Canis lupus familiaris: one gene and its partner. The main gene of each other region encodes a partner of the protein of the gene in region 2 in a complex. Links are inferred from orthologs where the notes say so. Each region holds a gene or a part of one and is shown on either strand. Other genes may lie near its edges.

Evidence for each region.
Region 1: the proteins of KDM4A (region 2) and histone H1.4-like are in contact, whole or in part, in a crystal structure (PDB 6H8P), measured with the Homo sapiens proteins. The link is inferred for Canis lupus familiaris from reciprocal best matches to the Homo sapiens genes KDM4A and H1-4. Residues at the interface, in NP_055478.2 of Homo sapiens: Ile71, Asn86, Ala134, Asp135, Asn137, Thr167, Ile168, Glu169, Gly170, Val171, Tyr175, Tyr177, Glu190, Asp191, Ser196, His240, Lys241, Ser288, Thr289, Asn290, Asp311, Met312, Val313; in NP_005312.1 of Homo sapiens: Ala24, Arg25, Lys26, Ser27, Ala28, Gly29.

Annotation. Positions count from the first base shown.
Region 1 is NC_049256.1:25,568,776-25,577,937, reverse strand, and holds histone H1.4-like, read right to left. Parts: upstream 4,116-9,162; 5' UTR 4,059-4,115; coding exon 3,411-4,058; 3' UTR 2,601-3,410; downstream 1-2,600. Other genes in the region: histone H2B type 1-M, read right to left, coding at 2,176-2,556; H4C4 (H4 clustered histone 4), read left to right, coding at 7,936-8,247. UniProt on the Homo sapiens protein: Histone H1 protein binds to linker DNA between nucleosomes forming the macromolecular structure known as the chromatin fiber. Histones H1 are necessary for the condensation of nucleosome chains into higher-order structured fibers.
Region 2 is NC_049236.1:16,661,895-16,671,879, forward strand, and holds the start of KDM4A (lysine-specific demethylase 4A), read right to left. Parts: upstream 6,024-9,985; 5' UTR 5,903-6,023; intron 5,748-5,902; exon of another isoform or gene 5,605-5,747; intron 5,550-5,604; exon of another isoform or gene 5,393-5,549; intron 3,378-5,392; 5' UTR 3,339-3,377; coding exon 3,201-3,338; intron 2,529-3,200; coding exon 2,353-2,528; intron 1-2,352. UniProt on the Homo sapiens protein: Histone demethylase that specifically demethylates 'Lys-9' and 'Lys-36' residues of histone H3, thereby playing a central role in histone code. Does not demethylate histone H3 'Lys-4', H3 'Lys-27' nor H4 'Lys-20'.

The DNA of each region.
Region 1 (9,162 bases), on a different chromosome or scaffold from region 2:
TATAACAGTGCTTCAGTCTATTGCCATCTAGCAGAACAGATTAGAAAACTAGCTTTACATTTGTTGGGAGAATTTATGGGGTTTGGTTCACAGTGTGACAGAGTGACGTCCGTTTTGGTGTATGAGTTTTACCCTATTTTATTGATTTTGAGTTACATGAGTAATCCATTAACTCTGAAAAATTCTCAGCCATGATCATTGGAAGCTCACACCAGCATCAATCTCTCTGGTTGTTCTTGTGGTGCCATGATTAGATACATGGCAGACAATTTTACTACTAATTCCAGATCTCTTAAACTCACTTTTACATTTCTCTCCCTGCATTTTGGATAAATAAGGTCTGCTTACAGAATTCATGAAAATTCTTCATCTGGAGCCTATTGATTTTTTTGGTCCATTTAGCAAGCCTTTAATTTTAATTTTCATATGATTAATGTAAATTAACGTGTATATCCACACCTTCATTTCTGGAAGTCGTATTTGGTTCTTTCGACTCTTTTTGGAAAATTCTTTGTATTCTTAATCCCTCAGCATATTTCACTTAGTGTTTTCCTTTTCCTTTTTAAAGATATTCAAGTTAGCAACTTGAAGTTTGTATCTGTTCATTTTCTTTTTACTCCTTTTGTTTCCACTGTGTGCTTCTCTTCTTGTTGGTTACATTGTCTTGTTGAATCCTGTGTTGATTTTGGTTGTGAAGCTGCTCTTTCATTTTCTTTGCTATCTTATGTGTGGAGGATTTGCTGAGACCAAAAATGAAGCTTATTCCTTCAGAGAGGATTTGTATTTGCCTTGAGCGGGTGCTCAGGGGTACAAAGCCAGCTTGGGAGATCTCAGAGTTAATCCTCAGCCTGGGTATTCCGAATCCCTGTGATGTCAGTGCCAGAAGCAAGTGAGTGGTGGTCGGAATTGTGGGTGGCACAATCTACCTTGCTCAGCACGGAGGGTGAGCACACACTGTTGCCATCTTCTGGGCGAGTGGGTGTGTGGGGGTGCCCATGTGCTGTCTGGTCGTGTGCTCATTTCTAGTTCATCCTTCTACCCTGAGGATGGAACCGGTGAGTGTGTCAGCTACACCTGGAAAGATAATCTCATCCGTTTTCTTGGGTGAACTCTCAACTGTTGACTGCTTACCCCCTGGCCAGTTCCTCCCAGCTCCCCAGCTTTTTCCCCCAGATTTCTTTTCCCCACAATAATCCATTCCCAGCAGCAGCAGAAACCCTTTATGCCATCTGACCTTGTGCAGCAGAAGCCACATCCTCCCGGGAAGGGCTTTCTTTCCCTTTCTACCTCCTCTCAGTCCTCGCCTCTCAGGGACACGGGGCAAGGGGCCAGGGGAGGAAAGGGGGCCTCAGTCCTGGGGTAACTTTTGCCTCTCCAGTCAGACACTTTATGGGATTGAGTAGTGGGCTTCTCTCTTGTGACCCTGGGGTCTTCCCAGCTAAGGATGCTGGAAGAAGACCGGCAATGCAATAGGACTTTGTAGGAGAGAAGCTATAGTAGCTGACAGGATTTGAAAGCCCTTCCAAGTCAGGACAGGTTCCCTTTCCTGTCTGTCTGCGCCTTTAGGATACAGCACAGACTCCTCCTCCCTGATCCCCACCCTACCTCCCCCACCAGCAGAAATGGGCATTATTGCAAAGCTAGCAAGCCAGAAAAGCCTGTGTAAGATTTCCATGAAAACTCATGTTGTCTTAAGCTCGTTTTCATTATTGCATATCTATATGCTGAAAAGGAAAAGAAAAGCTCTGAGCAAAACAGTTTTTACAGCATGCTTTGTGCTCTGGGGAAACCGTTCTTACCCAAGTCCTTGAATGTCACGATGAATTTGGAGCCTGCGCACAGGAAGGAGAGCTGTACACTTGAAATGGCATTTTCATTTAAAATTGAGGTTTAGTGTTGTGAAACTAAGGAATAATGGTTGTACAGAACCGGTTTTGGGCATAGCGAGCGCTCAATTTATGATGGGTATGGTTATCGACCGGGAATTGTGGCATCCTTGCTACGCAATCCTAAGAGAAAATTATAGAGCCGTAGCGATGTATCGATCTTAGAGTAAACTTGATTAGGGTGCATTTGAGAATAGTTTTTAGAAAGCATTATAGCTCATTTGTTGAAAGCATGCGTGGCTCTGAAAAGAGCCTTTGGGGTTGGGAAGGAGACGCTTACTTGGCACGTTTACTTGGAGCTGGTGTACTTGGTGACGGCCTTGGTGCCCTCGGACACGGCGTGCTTGGCCAGCTCCCCGGGCAGCAGCAGGCGCACGGCCGTCTGGATCTCCCTGGACGTGATGGTCGAGCGCTTGTTGTAATGCGCCAGGCGCGACGCCTCGCCCGCGATGCGCTCGAAGATGTCGTTGACGAACGAGTTCATGATGCCCATGGCCTTGGACGAGATGCCCGTGTCGGGGTGCACCTGCTTCAGCACCTTGTACACGTACACCGAGTAGCTCTCCTTGCGGCTGCGCTTGCGCTTCTTGCCGTCCTTCTTCTGCGCCTTGGTCACCGCCTTCTTGGAGCCCTTCTTCGGGGCCGGCGCGGACTTGGTGGGTTCTGGCATAGTGACCTTGAATACCACACGTTCAGTAAAGCGGGAGGAAAATATAAGCCACCGTAAGACCCCGTTTATTTATAGAGGAGGCATTCGAATGAGGTTAGTAAGATCATTTACGATTGGATTAATTTTACTGTGTCGTCACAAATACGAATGTAAAAGGTACTTGCAATTCTAGCGTTTCATTGGCTGCCTCGTTACTGTGCTTCGACCCAATCAGAAGGTCTAGACTTGGCTACCAAAGGTTACTATAAAGTCTTCTTCAACGCCAATATGTATTTTAACTTTGAGGTAGTGTAACGGAGAAGTGTGTGTGGACAGCTTTTGTTAGAAAACTTCCTCCACTAGGATGGGTGTTGCGCAGCGGAAGCCTGGTGGCCACTGGTGGCCAAACTGACGTCCTAGGTATTGGAGCTGGTGGGCAAGTGCTTGTTGAGGAGATGGCGCAATTCCATGATTAAGATAATGGAAAGACCATCGAGATACTTCATAGTTTTCTACCAATACAGTATAAAGATCCCCGGTGGCTGGAGAACTTTCTATTAAGTGGCAAATCGGTTTCAAAGTTCGTTTTGCAAGTAACTTCTCCCCTATGTATATTAGTCCTATTGCGCCGTGTGGACTACGGGCCAATTTAGGTTGAACCAGCGCACTTACCAGACTAGAGGAGAAATCATTGTCCCATTTGAAATCTCCCCAGGCCCGTGTGCACTTAACAGGCGCCCCTGTAGGTGCCGCTCCGGGCTCGCCAGTCTCCCCTCCCGCCACGCCCCCTTCCCCGCAGAGTGCCGCAGCTCTTTTCAGAGGTTTGGGTGGCTCTGAAAAGAGCCTTTAAAAAGATCCTAAACTACTCTGTATTCTTATTTCTTCTTGGCGGCCACTTTCTTGGGTTTGGCCGCCTTGGGCTTGGCTGCCTTGGGCTTCGGGGCTTTGGTCTTGGCCGGACTCTTGGCCGCCTTCTTGGGCTTGGCCGCCTTCGCCTTCTTGGGGCTCTTGGCCACCTTCTTGGCGACGGTGGCCGCGGCGGGCTTCTTAGCCTTCTTCGGAGTCTTCTTGGCGCTCTTCTTGGGGGTGCCGGTCCCCGCTGCCTTCTTGGGCTTCTTGGCCGTCCCCGCCGCCCGCTTGGGCTTGGCCGCGCCCGCCTTCTTGGCCTTGGGCTTGGCCTCCCCGGAGGCCGCCTTCTTGTTGAGCTTGAAGGAGCCCGAGGCGCCGGTGCCCTTGGTCTGCACCAGGGTCCCCTTGCTCACCAGGCTCTTGAGGCCCAGCTTGATGCGGCTGTTGTTCTTCTCCACGTCGTAGCCGGCGGCCGCCAGCGCCTTCTTGAGCGCGGCCAAGGAGAGGCCGTTGCGCTCCTTGGACGCGGCCACCGCCTTGGTGATGAGCTCGGACACCGGGGGCCCGGACGCCTTGCGCTTGGCTGCGCCGGCGGACTTGCGGGCCTTCTTCTTCACCGGCGTCTTCTCCGCGGGGGCCGGGGCTGGAGGCGCGGCAGGAGCGGTCTCGGACATAGTGGGTTTTGGTTCCTGAAGATGAAAGGAAAAAATAATATTAATCGAGTCTCGGAGTTGAGCTGCTTGGTTCGGCGTGCGTGTGTGCGTGTGTATATATACAACAAGGACGCCGCGCGCTGATTGGCTCCGAGCTCAGTCCTCCAACTTGACAGCAGCCTGGTGTCAGCTCTGTCCCGGAATTGTGTTTGTTACAGTTGGGGAAAGCAAAAAAATTAAAATTTCCTGGGGAGGAATCACGCTGATTACACTCTATAGCGAAGCGGGACCCCTCATGCTTTGACATCTTCGTGTTTTCTTCTTCCAGTTTTCATCATCTGGGTTTCAGCTCTTTTCAAAAGCCCCTGACACCCTGAGAGATTCACAGGTCAGAGAGACAACTTCTTGATTTTCCTTTAAAATATAAATTCTTCGCTTTGTGCTTTCAATAACTTGCTCTCTAGGGTTATTCTATACATTCTTGGCTTCTCATATGTTCAACAGCTGCTTAGTTCTCATCGAGATTTAGCCAGAAAACCTGTTTCATATGAAGGGAAATAACACAGGCTCTCTCCCCATTTCTCTACAAGAATGATAGTAAAGGATTCTTGGAAGAACTGCTAATTCTGACAAGAACGGTCATTATTTTGTCTGTAAAACCTTTATCATAGCTTCTAGTAACAATTTGCAGAGTTAGTTTGGGGTTTCTGCATTCAATATTTGTCTAGAAAAATGGGAAATGCAGCAAGTATGATGCTGCTGACCTGGTTGTTTGGCTTATGTTTGTTTTAGATGATGATAGGAGATTTAGAAGTGGCATAAGAGAAGTTGGGTACCTTTATTAGTTGAAAATATTATCTTATATTGATTTTCTTGGTAGAGATCAGTTACTAAAATGTGTACAAGTTTGGGTATAGAAATCTGCCATTCTTGAGAAAGAGAAATTTGGAAGGTATTAAAGTAACAAAGATTATATACATGCACAACACACACAGACATGCACACACTTATGGCATTCCCTTGAGAGGGGGACCTTTTTTAAAAGTGTGTTTTATATTCACTAGTATATTTTTCATTTATGGAAGGCATCACATTACAACTTATGCTTACTGTTGAATGGGAAATAGGTTTATGGTAGGAAGTGATTTAATGTGATTTTCTTCACAAATTCCTTTTTTCTCTTTAACATATTATATTTATTTTGAAACATGAACCAATCTGTGTTCCACTATGACAGTGAAAGAAGGAAACACAGCAAAGCTCAAGAGGGGGAAGGTTTCACTTTCCTTTATTATCCCCTCAAAATCAAGAAATGACTGATTATTCCTTTCAGTCAATCCAAGTGAAACATGAAAATTAATGTCACTATAGGTTAAATATTAACATGATAAAGAGGGGTGAGATATCAGCTTAGTATAAATAATTTTTACTTTGTGTATTCACTTTTTATAGAGCTTACATATTCTTAATTCTTTTAAAGTGGTTTTGAAAAAAAGTGGTTTTGATTCATTATAGTTGGTTTTGAAACTCATTTGAAGATTATTCTTTGATAATCTGATAATTATTCTTTGATAATTAATACTCCAGGAATTGCAGAGACATTGAGTCATAAGGCTGTGACAGTATTTAGTCCATACAAGAAATAGGAGAGTCAAGATTATACCCAAAGAGACGCAGTGCCACCAAGGAAGAGCTGTTTCTTGGACATGTCAGTGTAGGGAGTCTCTCCAAGGTACTACCCCTATCACCTTCATGGATGGGCTTATGAGTCACGTCAATGTGAGTAACTTCGAAGACTGTCTCTTCAAATTGGTCCTTTTGCCTAAATATCAAACTTGTATTTCTGGGCACTTGGTGGGTATTTGCCTTTGCACCTGTCTCCACTGTACTACACTCTCCCTATAATCTCTTTCCTGTTGCTAAGAGGAGAAAATTATTGCCATTTACCCTTACACACCTCCATCAGGTTACTATTACGTATTCATTTCATGCCAACATTCATGTCATTTCCTAATGCTTCTCTGTGCACATTTTCAAAACCCAGAGTCTTTCAAGGCTCTGAAGATCCCTTTGACCCTTCTTTGTTCATGTCAAGGGCTTCTTTATATATCTGATAAGGCTTATGGGCCCCTTGCCAGGACAATGTTTTTAAGAGTTTAAGAGAATATACATTGGATTATAATGGGAAAGAATTAATATTACAATACCTTTATCAAATCCCCAAACTGTAAAGTGTTAACAGATGTGTGTGGTTTCTTTTTAAAGATTTTATTTATTTATTTGTGAAAGACACACAGAGAGAGGCAGATACATATTCAGAGGGAGAAGCAGGCTCCCTGCCGGGAACCCAATGTGGGACTAGATCCCAGGACCCAGGCATCAGGCCATGAGCCAAAGGCAGATGCTCAACCACTTAGGCATCCTAACAGATGTGTTTTTTTATTAATCCGTTAGAGTCACAAGATAGCTCTTGTGAGCAAGAATGAACACAGTGTAGAAGGAATAAAGTGTCTAAATGGTCTTGAAAACACTGAGAGCTTCAGTTTAGGTGACATGCACACAGGACAGGTCCCGCCCATCGAAGTTTGCTGCCTATATTCGTAAATGGAAGAAATGCTAAGCTTCAATTGAGGGATAGTACAGATAAAGATGGACTTATGTTCTATACAAGTTCCTAGATGTCTTAAATCCTGTCATTGTATCAGAGAGTAAGAACACAAGTCGGGCATTTTTCCCATGCACCGCCCACAAACTCAGAAATCAGCTTTAATGAACTATGTCCTCCTCACAGACCCTTGGGGAGAAGCCAAATCCCCACAAAGTCAACTAGAACTCCACAAACGGATTAGTGCTGAATTCAATCTTTCAGTGCTTATTATTTTTAAGGAGTTCTGGAAAGAAAGTTGTAGGAAACTAGGATGCTCTGTTAGGCTCATTATTCCGAGGAGCGAATAGTGAGTGAAGGAGCAGAGAAACATCCACAATAATATATCATAATCATTTTGTGAGTGCATATTTGCGGATAGTAAACGCTTTACATGGGTTTTCCCTTTGAAAATTCAATGCTCTATGACTTAGACTTTCTTATACATTTGGAAAGGAAAAGAAGCGAGTATAGCCCGCCCGAGGTCCTGTAGGTAGCACGGCGGCAGGCTGTGTCCAGAGCCGCGTTCTAGGTCATGCCAAAGGCCGGAGCACCAGAACGTGGAGGCGGACACCGCGCTACCTGTAAGCTGTGCATAACTAAGTATACACTGAAGTCGCAGAGTGGAGACTCACAGCAGAACCAGGCTCTCCTCACTGTGGCATATGCTCAGCGCAGCCTTCAGTGTGGAACCTGACTTGACTTTGAAATGTTTAAGGCGATTCTGTCCGTTCCCTCCGCAGGGACCGGACAGCCTGCATCCCAGCCAGCCGCCCTCCGTAGGGACCGGACACCCATCGGTCGATAACACGAACAGAATCTTAGCAATACAGATAGGATTAGCTTCAAATTTTATTGAAAACCTCTCCTAGGGACAACAGCGAGGAGGATCTAAATATTTCTGCCCTTGTTTGGGAAATGTGAAGGACGAGGTCTTTGTGGAAAGCGTATGCATTGGTGCCCGGCATAGCGGGTGGCCGGCATAGAGGCTGCAAGTGCTGCAAGGCCATTGCACGGATCACATACTCGAGAGGATTTACGGAATCCCCTTCCCCCGGCACAGACTCCGCTTGGGGCGCCCGGCCTTCCGGGTCTGCACAGTCTGAGCAAAGGCTAGAAGGGCGATGGGCGGGAACGGAGTGTGGATCCGCCCCTGCGCTTGCGGTTTTCAAACAGGTCCGTCACATTGTTATAAAAGTGCGGCGTGGCGGCAGCCGGTAGTGCCGTGCAGGCTCGGGAGGTTCTGGTGTGGTCATGTCTGGTCGCGGCAAGGGCGGGAAGGGGCTGGGCAAGGGCGGCGCCAAGCGCCACCGCAAGGTGCTGCGCGACAACATCCAGGGCATCACCAAGCCCGCCATCCGGCGGCTGGCCCGGCGCGGCGGCGTCAAGCGCATCTCGGGCCTCATCTACGAGGAGACCCGCGGGGTGCTCAAGGTGTTCCTGGAGAACGTGATCCGGGACGCCGTCACCTACACGGAGCACGCCAAGCGCAAGACGGTCACGGCCATGGACGTGGTCTACGCGCTCAAGCGCCAGGGCCGCACCCTCTACGGCTTCGGCGGCTGAGTTGTGAGTTCAGCTCCAGGAAATCCCAGTTTGCAACCAAAGGCCCTTTTCAGGGCCACCTATCTAGTCTACAGAAAGAGGTGCTCACTTTGTACTATCGCTGTGAATTTCTTACTTCGGCAGACTACACCTAGTTGGGTCTCCATTCGCCCAGGCAACTGTGCTCCCATTCTAAATTTGACCCCTTCATGCCTGTCCGTCGTGAGGCATCCTGGGGGGGTGGGGGGGAGGACCTGTCCGCCTCTCCACTGAATTGCATCCAGAGGTTCTGATCTTCCTCCAAGACCACCTAACGTACACGTGCTATAGGTCCACTTAAAAGGTGCTTTAATCAAGTGCCTTCGTTTATTATCGGACAGAATCTTAGACTTCCGAGGTCCCTTCAGTTAACAGGTGATGATGGTTCTATGGTCTGCATGCAGCCTATCCTGACTGCGAGCCCAGGTTTTTAGGGTTTAAATCCCACCTTGCCTAGTATCAGCAGATTAGGGAAAAATTACGTTGGTTTTCTAGTGAGTTCCCGCTTTCTTGTTCTTAGGTTCTTTAAGCATGCCACAGACTGCCACTTTACCCCTGTATCCTTTGGTGTGATCCCAGTGTGTTTGGTTTTGTGGAGAGTCTTAGCTGTGTAGGCTGGCTTCCTCCACCCCCCCACCCCCGGCATTAAGATTGTTCACTTGAACAGAATAAACCATATAGCTGGGCCGGTGGCCTTGTAGCCTTAGGCAACATGTCCCCGCTTTCCTGGAACACAGGTAAGAATGTGGCTAAGAGCTGCAAAAGTCAGAAGTCACTCCCAGGTCTGGGCTTTCCCCTTTCCCACCAGGTAAGAAGGTGATCCAACAGTCCCTTGGCAGGGACATCAGGTCCCAGGGGATAGCAGAGCAATGACTTGAAGGGAAAAGGTCCTGGATT
Region 2 (9,985 bases):
AAATAAATAAAATCTTAAAAAAAAAAAGTGATATGTAAATTGAATAAATATTTGAAAATGCACATTATAATTCAAAAGGGAAAAAAACATTATGAATGGATAGAAAGGAAGCGAAGACCCAAAACAAACTGTGTGGAGACAATGGGCTGAAGGGGGAAAAAAAATCTTACTTTAAATACGGCCATACAGGGATCCCTGGGTGGCGCAGCGGTTTAGCGCCTGCCTTTGGCCCAGGGCGTGATCCTGGAGACCCGGGATCGAATCCCACATCGGGCTCCCGGTGCATGGAGCCTGCTTCTCCCTCTGCCTATGTCTCTGCCTCTCTCTCTCTGTGTGTGACTACCATAAATAAATAAAAATTTAAAAAAATAAATAAATAAATACGGCCATACAAAAAAAAAAGGGGGGGGATAAATAAACAAATAAGTAAATAAATAAATAAATACGGCCATACATTTTAATGTCGACCTATTGAATAATAAAGTATAGGACTCTTAAGTTCCCTTTGAAATAGAAGTAACTCTTCCACCTCCAACTGATCTGCTTCATAAATTGTGATTTTTACCTGCTGGGTTTTCTTAAAGCTGGCTAACAATGCACATAGAAATTAAGGGGAAGAATTTACTGCATTTCAGACAAAGGGGAAAGACACAGGACTGGCTAATTGAAAAGAAGAGGTATCTTTAAAGAAAAGGCCTACCATACGTTGAGAAGAGAAACCAGACACAGGAGAGCGAGGCCTCTGGCTGAGCCCCATGTGAGCTGGAAGGCAGGCAAGCCTCCCACCGCATAGCTAGAAACCAGACATAAAGGATGGCACAGGCTTTCATCTGCAGAGCATGTCACACTTCTTGGACACGCTCTTACATAAATTTGCTCTTTAGACAGCAGGTTGGTCAGCAATGCAGATGTTTTAAGAATTAAGCTGTCAATAAAACTGGAAAACAACATTCTGAACTGTGATAAGTCAAAGGAAAAGATGGCAAAACACAGAAATAGAACAAGATCTGATGTGAGAGAGCAATGATAAAGCACATGAAGTGGTGGTGCCCCCAGAAGCGTGAAAACTGGTGAGCTAAACATCCAGCTCTGGGATCATTCACAGCAAACCCACAATCTAACACATCTGACTGGCTGAAATCAAGACGTATGTAGATCAAAAGGGCGCAGGGAAAAAAGCAAGAGAAAATAAAGGAATCCCTCATGGACACTAAAAAGTCAAGGAGTAACACGGGAAGGGAGAAAGTCCAAGAAAGGATTAAGTAGGAGCAGTCACAGCTCAATGAAAGAAACCACAAAATCACACTCTGTAAATCTGAGGTCAAATGAAAGCTAAATATGAAAAAGAACAGACAAGAAACCATGGAAAATAGCAGACCTACAGACCTACACAAAGACGTGTCTAACAGAGATAAGGATGTATGGATGAAGAGGAACGGAAGCAAAGGAAACAGCAACCAGGGGATCCCTGGATCCTGGTGGCTCAGTAGTTTAGTGCCTGCCTTTGGCCCAGGTCATGATCCTGGGGTCCCGGGATCGAGTCCCACATCAGGTTCCCTGCATGGAGCCTGCTTCTCCCCTCTGCCTGTGTCTCTGCCTCTCCTTCTGTGTGTCTCTCGGGAATAAATAAATAAACCCTTTAAAAAAAAAAAAAGAAAAAGAAAACAGCAACCAGCTTGGCAGTTTGATCACACTTTTTTTTTTCTTTTTTAAGATTTTACTTATTTATTTGAGAGACAGAGCAGTGAGAGAGAGAGAGTACATGAGTGGGGTGAGGGGCAGAGGGAGAAGCAAACTCACCACTGAGCAGGGAGCCCAATGTGGGGCTTGATCCCAGGACTCTGGGATCATGATCCAAGTCTAAGGCAAACGCTTCACTGACTAAGCCACCCAGGTGCCCAGTCATATTTTAAGTCAAAATAGAAGGGGACAGTGCTAGTAGTGAGTAGTTTGAGCATGAAAAGACAGGAGGACCCAGAAGGAAGAGAAAAACCACTAAGGCAACCTTTCGATAAGCTGGTGTTATCAACACAGCTGGCCAAAACTCTTTTTGAACCAACTCCTAACTTTCTCCTTTACAACTCTACAATTTACCAGGGTCAGAGAATGATTCTGCCTCTGATGGAAGAACAATGGGATTACTTTAGGGAAGACTTATGGATGCGTTTAGACTGTGACACAGTACTGGGAGTAGTAAGGATGCTTCCATAAAAAGAGCAGAAAGGGAGACAGAGCTAGGGCTGAGGAAAGCATCCTTCAGTGGCTCGGCAGCGACCTTAGGAGACAGCTATAAAGATCAGACGTTAGCTCCTAGGTGCTACTACAGGCGGGAAGGGACGGGTTTTCACTCACTTATCACTATTGGCTATCTTGCGGAACTCTCGAACAGTCATGGCTTTCTTCTGGATGTTGTACTGAGTGAAGAGGCCAGACTGCCCTGTCACTAGCTGCTGGATGGGGGCAGGAATGACCAGATCATCAATATCATCATAGGACGCTCGAGGTTTCCACTCCTTTGGAGGAACGACCTGTAGGGAACACAAGAAACAAAGAGATCAGAAACCTAGCAGGCCAGGTCCCAGCCCAGGTTGGGGATAGGCAGCTATTCAACCGAAAGGTCAATTTTACTATAAAGTGACTCTGATTTAACCAAGTATACCCAAACATAGCAAGTCACGCTGTTGTGCTAACCCTGATCCAATTCAGCCACCAATTGGCTGCCTCATTACAATGATCAAAATAAGTAATACTCATTCTAAGCTCAGTATCTTATCTGGACATCAAGACAAGAGCTGAGGGTTGATTCTCATAATCTAACAGAAGGTGCACATAAAGAACCAACTTGCTAACAGAGTGCTAGATGAGACTGAAATGGGAACAAGGTGTATGGTATAAGCCTCAGTGACAGGTACAAACACTAAAGCACACATCTCTGCCATGAGAATGGAAGCAGCACAGCAGCTGGCCCTGGGACACTGGCTCTTTACTTTGCTTAGGCTCTTTATTTCTCTTTAAAGACTCCGAGCAGCTCCCACCCTACCTAAAAGATGCTTGCTTCAGATGTTAACGAAAGGAATTAACTTACAAATAGGACAGTATACACTCAACACCCAGCCTGGCTTTTTGTGAAACTCAGTTCTTTCATCCACCTTTTAGGAAAAATTCCTGCTGACCTAAGGAACAACCCCACCCACCCTCACCTTGGCCAGCCCAGCCCGATGAGCTCCTTGGGATTCAATGTAGGCCATGTATCGACTGAAGTTCCGGAACTCCTCCATGGTTGGGTAAAACGTCATTATCCGAGCACTGGGATTCAGAGTTTCAGATTCAGAAGCCATCTTCCTTCTTTTTTGAGGTCACTTTGGTCAGACAGGAATCTGAAGAAATACATGAAGAGCATAAACTGTAGGGACACCTGGGTGGCTCAGTGGTTGAGTGTCTGCTTTCAGCTCAGAGTGTGATCCTGGATTCCCAGGGCTGAGTCCTGTATTGGGCTCCTTGCATGGAGCCTGCTTCTCCCTCTCCCTCTCTCGGTGTCTCTTGTGAATAAATAAATAAAATTTTTTTTTAAGAGCATAAACTGTAATTTGAATTAAATGCTGGGTATATCAGGGCAGATGGGTAATTGAGTGATGGATATTAAGGAGGCAGGGCACTTGTTGTAATGAGCACAGGGTGTTATAAACAAGTGATGAAATCACTAAATTCACACCTGAAACTAATATTTCACTGTCTATTAACTGAATGGAATTTTTAAAAACTTGATAAAAAAAAAACGCTTGGAATGTCAATGCTGAAACAACAAAGGATGTAGAAATCCTGAAGTTTTAAGACCTCACACCTTGAATCTGCCTCTAGATAGGTTACTTAAGTAAACAAAAACAGAGTGAGAATCCAATGTATCAAAATTGTAAGTATTCAAATCTCATTTAAATGGAGACACTATTTCAGCTAAAATCTGTTACTAGATTGTTGTACTTAACAATACTAAAGCTGCCCTGCCCTCTTTTATCTTTTCCAATTGCTCCCTTATCCACCTTTGATAACTGCTTCAGGATGTATTAAACAATGTATTAGATTAAAAAAAAAAAAACAAACTATGGGCTCCCTTTCAGGGCACAACCTAAAACAAGATTCTAGATTACTAAGGCAAGTTAACTTGGCCATAAGATTATAAAGTTTTAAGAGTTAAAAAAGCACTCTGATATTTGTATTTAAAACCCCTAAAATGAGATTGTTCTCTAAACCAAAACATCATTTCAGCAATACATAAGGTCAAGCTGGAGACTAGTTCAACTACACAGTACCCAGAATTCAAAGGACAAAATTTAAATGGGCAATAAACTGGCAATACAGGGTACACTTCAAACTGACCGGAAAAGGTGAAACACTGTGCTCCTAGATGAGGCCTTCGAACTAAGTGGGTGCATCCCCATTGCCTGATTAACACGATAGATGATTTCAAATGAGTAAGAACCAGGCACAAGATCTAAAAGAAGCCACTTGAGGAACAAACATTTCCCTCGACTCCTCCAGTCTGGGCCCCAAAGCCATGGCAGTTCAGCTCCCAGGGTTCCCTTGAGAGCTGGAGAGCTCAGAAGGAAACTACAGCACCTCCAACCTGCCAGCAACCTACTAACACACTGGGAAGCCAGGATGACACAAAACTGTCTAAGCCCCATTACCCACATCTCTCAAGCTTCCATTTCACCAAAAAATAAAGTGTTCTTGGCCAGGAGCTTTTCAGGCGCCTCCCCAAAACTTTACAGAACAGCTAGACTGTTAACCCCATTTTACATAGCAGGACTTTCCCCCCACAGTCCCCACAGTCCTGCAACTCATCCCCACTGCTTCTTCCATTACTCTGTGCTGCCTACTGTATAATTTCCACCTAGAAGCAGCCCTTTGCAAGGGGAGATCCAAGTGTGGAGGAACCTCAAGTTCGATCAATTTTAAAGGCTGTCTTTTTCAGAATTACAAAATCTTGCTTCAGCCTAATTTGATGAAAACATCCTAATCGTGTGAACACAGTGCTAGGCCTGGAACGGGGCTTCATCTGCCTCTGGACTTAGTCATCTTTGTAGCCTGGAACCTAGAACAATGCACGGCTCGGCGCAGACACTCCGTAACTGTTGAATAACTGATCCCCTCGCCCCCACTTCGCTCGCTCATTGCCTTTCTCCGACCCTAGGATTCCCTTCCCCCCACCTCTCCCCTGGGGGAAGCTCCGGTGCCCCGACTCTTTCATGTCCCCCATTCAGCAACAAAGCCTGGTGTGGTTCAAGAGCACCGGCTCCGGAACCCAAACAACTCTGGATTCAGATCCGGTCTCTGCCATTCGTTGGCTGTGTGACCTTGGCTGTGTGAGCTGCCCGAGTCTCAGTTTCCCCACCTGTAAAATGGGGATCCCGACCTCCTCGCCCAGCAGGGCTGCTCCGATGAACTCAGATGATGCAAGCGAAACGCTGAGCACTAGGCCCGGCACTTAAGAACTCAATAAAGGTCGCCGCTGCTAACACCCGCCTCTAACTGCCGCCCCGCCCCTCGAAGCTGACCCCACGGAACCCCCCCAGGGCAGCCCCCCGCTCCCGGGGGCCCCCCCACCTCACCGCGTCGAGGGCCAGCCCCTCCCGGCCCCGCCGCCTAGGCGAGTGAGGCCCGGCCGCAGGAAGAAGAAAATAAGGCCCAGGACACCCGCCTCCCTTCCCGACGCGCATTGGCCACAGGAGATTAGAAAGGACCAATCTCGGGATGCATTTCGGAGCCGCGGTCCGCATTGGACAAGGAGCACGCCTATCACTCGGCGCTGACGGCAAGCCCCCCGCCCCTCCCCCACCGGAGCTCACGGTCACAGGGACGGCTGCAACGCACGCAGAGCACTCGGAAGCCGTACGGTCCTTACCCGCCAGCCCTCCGCCCCTGCAGGGCCCGGGCCTGGCTCCCGCGGTCGCCGGCGGCCGCGCGCTCCGCTCCTCCAGCCGGCGGAGGACGGAGCTCCGCCTCCCCCGGAAAGTCGGCCCCTGCGCAGCCGCGCGGCCCTGACCAATGGGAGCCCGCTGGCGCTCGGCAAGCAGCCAATGGGAGCGCGCCTATGATCTGCTCCGCCAATGAGCGCCGGGTCGGGCTGTTGCCAGGAGGAAAAGCCGCGCCGCCCGGCTCTGCGGCCACTGAGCATCTTGGCTGAGCCGCGGGGCGGGCCAATCACAGGCGGCCATCCCCCCTCCCCACCCCCCATCCCCCCCACCCCCGCTCCCCGGGGTGGAAAGAGGCGAGTGCCTGGAAGTGGGACGCTCGGCGAGGGTCGGGGCCGCGGGATGCGCGTGGGATGTGACTAGCGAAGAGTCTAGGGGCCTCCCCAAGGTGGGGCCTCCCCAAGGTGGCAGTGCGCTGGGAGCCCTTGGGGGCCGCTTCCGAGATCTGATAGGGTGACCAACTTGGCCCTTTTTGCCCGAGACTGCCTTGGCTTTTCTTTTTTTCTTTTTCTTTTTCTTTTTCTTTTTTTTTTTAAGATTTATTTATTCATGAGAGACACAGAGAGAGAGGCAGAGGCACATGCAGAGGGAGAAGCAGGCTCCATGCAGGGAGCCCGACGTGGGACTCGATCCCGGGACCCCAGGATCACGCGCCCTGGGCCAGAGGCAGGTGCTCAACCACTGAACCACCCGGGGATCCCTGCCTTGGCTTTCAAAACTGGAAGGCCCGTGTCATGGGAAACCTCCCACTCGCCGGCAGAACCAGACATTTCCTGAAGGGGAGACAGCTCTGAAGGGGGAATGTCCTTAGGGTCATTAAGAGAAGAGTTGTTCAATGAGCGGGGATTTGGGGGTCATTAGGAGCAGCTCTTGGGGCGTGGGAGAAGGTCCTGGGAGTCATTACACGTACTTCTGGAAAGTTGAGGGAGTGTCTAGAAGTCATTAGGAACTTCCTAAGGGGCACTGAGGCGCCCTAAGGAGCCCCCAGATTATCGCGGATGGTGGGCCAGGAAGCCTACCGAACGCTCTGATAGGCCCAATAGAAAAGTAGAATAATCACAACCAGAATTATAAAAAAGTGGCCACAATTACCCATAGGTGAGCTATGATGCAGTGTCCTGTAAAGAGCTATGGAGTCAGATCTGCGTTCAAAATCCACCCCTCCTCTGAGCCTGGGTTTTCCCATCAGTAAAATGGAAAAGATAATACCTGCCTTGCGGGACTGTTGCAAAAAGGAAGGGTAATAAATGTTGGCCAAAAGGATGGTATTACCTAGAGTGGCGGAGGTAGAACAATCATGAGGCTGGGCACGTGCACCCAAAAAAACCCAAACCAAACCAAAAAAAAACAACAAAGCAGAGTTATATTGGGGGAAATTTTTTAAAAAGGAATGATCATTGATAGTTGTGTGGGCAATCAATAGTCTTTCACAACAAAGTTGTTCTCTCCAGACCTAGTAAGGAATTAGCTACTAGATTATACTGGGTAGCTCACAAAATTGTTAAGAGCCTGAAGAATCTAACCTGGAAGGTTCTTAATGAGGAAAACAACCCCAAATCATGCCAAAGAATTCATCGGCAGGTCTCCTTGCTGCTGCCACGAAATAAGATGCTGCAGAGGGCCTTCCCAGCTCCCCTGACCTGGGCATGGATACAGTTGCTAGTGCTGCTGTCACTGCCAACTACTTTGTGAATGTGATCTTGCTACATTTCCCAATGTTGCCAAAGAGGAGTTTCCAAGAGTCACTGCTACTTTGTATCACCAGTTTCTTGTTGGTGTGTGCATATGGTAGTTGAAGCCTGGCTCTCTGGAAGTCCTCCCATTTCCCTGACCAGTTTATCTCAGTCAACTTTTTAAGCTCATCTTTACTGTCCCACCTCTTAATGTTGATATTTACAGCAAAACTAATCATGGCAAAAGAAGCCAAAAGTGGGGTTACCTTTGAGTGGGGGACAGGGAATGATGGGGGAGTAGCATAAAGAATGCTTCCAAAAGGAAAGAAAGTTTCTGGGGCGTTAAGGTGTTAGTAATATCAGGGGAATTTTTTGGGTTTGAGGTGGGGGGTTTTAAATTTGGGGGGGGAGGGGGCAGCCCAGGTGGCTCAGCTGTTTAGCTCCACCTTCAGCCCAGGGCCTGATCCTAGAGACTCAGGATGGAGTCCCGTGTCAGGCTCCCTGTATGGAGACTGCTTCTCCCTCTGCCTGTGTCTCTGCCTCTTTCTCTCTCTCTGTGTGTCTCTCATGAATAAATAAATAAAATATTTTTTTAAAAAGTAAAATAAAGAGGGAGGGAGGGAGGGGAAAAAGAAAAAAGAAAAAAAAAAAAAAGTAAAATAAAGGGATCCCTGGGTGGCGCCGCGGTTTAGCGCCTGCCTTTGGCCCAGGGCGTGATCCTGGAGACCCGGGATCGAGTCCCACATTGGGCTCCCTGCATGGAGCCTGCTTCTCCCTCTGCCTGTGTCTCTGCCTCTCTCTCTCTCTCTCTCTCTCTGTGTGTGACTATCATGAATAAATAAATAAAATCTTTAAAAAAAAAAAAGTAAAATAAAAAAAAGTAAAATAAAAATAAAAAATAATTTTTTTGGTTTTGGTTTTGTTTTAGTAGCATTCTAAAGCAGTTTCTTGATCTGGATGGTGGTTATTACACTGGTATGTTCATATTTTAAATTTTCTTTGAGCTGTACACTTATAAGTTGTCCATAACATTTAATGTACACGATACCTTAATTTTTTTGATACCTTAATTTTTTAAAAGATTTATTTATTTCCACGAATGGGTGACGGGCACTGAGGGGGGCACTTGACGGGATGAGCACTGGGTATTATTCTGTATGTTGGCAAATTGAACACCAATAAAAAATAAATTTATTATTATATAAATAAATAAATAAATAAATAAATAAATAAATAAATAAATAAATAAATAAATATTTCCTTCCAAGAAGAAAAAAAAAAGATTTATTTATTTCCTGTAAGGGAGAGGGGTAGTTGGAGAGGGAGTGAGAGTCCCAGGCAAACTCCTCACTGAGCGCAGAGCCCCAACTCCGGCTTGATTCCACGACCCCAAGATCACGACCTGTGCTGAAACCAAGATTCAGACACATAACCGACTGAGCCACCCAGATGCCCCATGACACCTTTTTTTTTTTTTTTTTTTCTTTTTAATTCATGATAGACACAGAGAGAGAGAGAGAGGTAGAGAGACAGGCAGAGGGAGAAGCAGGCTCCATGCTGGGAGCCCGAGGCGGGACTGGATCCCAGGACTCCAGGATCATGCCCTGGGCCAAAGGCAGGCGCTAAACCTCTGAGCCACCCAGGGATCCCCTACCTTAATGTTTTTAATTACAAACTTAATCTTTAATTAAAAAAAAACTAAAGAACTGAAAATATGTTTCTGTGCTTGTGGCTCTATGTCTCTTGCCCTCTTCTCTCATTCTACAAGCTCTCCTTAGATGTTTCTGATTTCACAAGTCACTAGCAGTATGACCTGGGGCCAGTTACTTAATTTCTCTAATCCTCAATGATAACTAAAATTGGAACAGTACTTCTCTTTCTTGGTTGTGAGAGCTGAACAAGATAATGCAGGTAAAGTACTTAGAAGTCAAACTGGCACATATTGAGTGCTCCGTAAATGTTAGCTGTGGAATGGATGGTGGTGGTGGTGGTGGTGGTAATACAAAGCACTTAACCTAAAGCCTGAAACAAGAGTTCAAAACACTTAAACTCTCAGGCTTCACTCACGTGCACACTGATGAAACCCATTCCATACTCCAGCACGATCTTCTCCCCTGTGCTCAGATCCAAGCATCCTCCTACCTCTGGATCCCTCCTGCTGGATTCCTACAGGTACCTAAAACCCACATGCTCAATTAAGAACTAATGTATTTGCCCCACAAATGAGCTCCACCTCTTAGGTTTTCTATCTCAGTTAGTGGGGCAGTCAATCACCCATTCGCCTGAACCAGGAACTGGTGTGTAAACAGTGACTCCTTGATGCAGTCTATTGCCTCACCC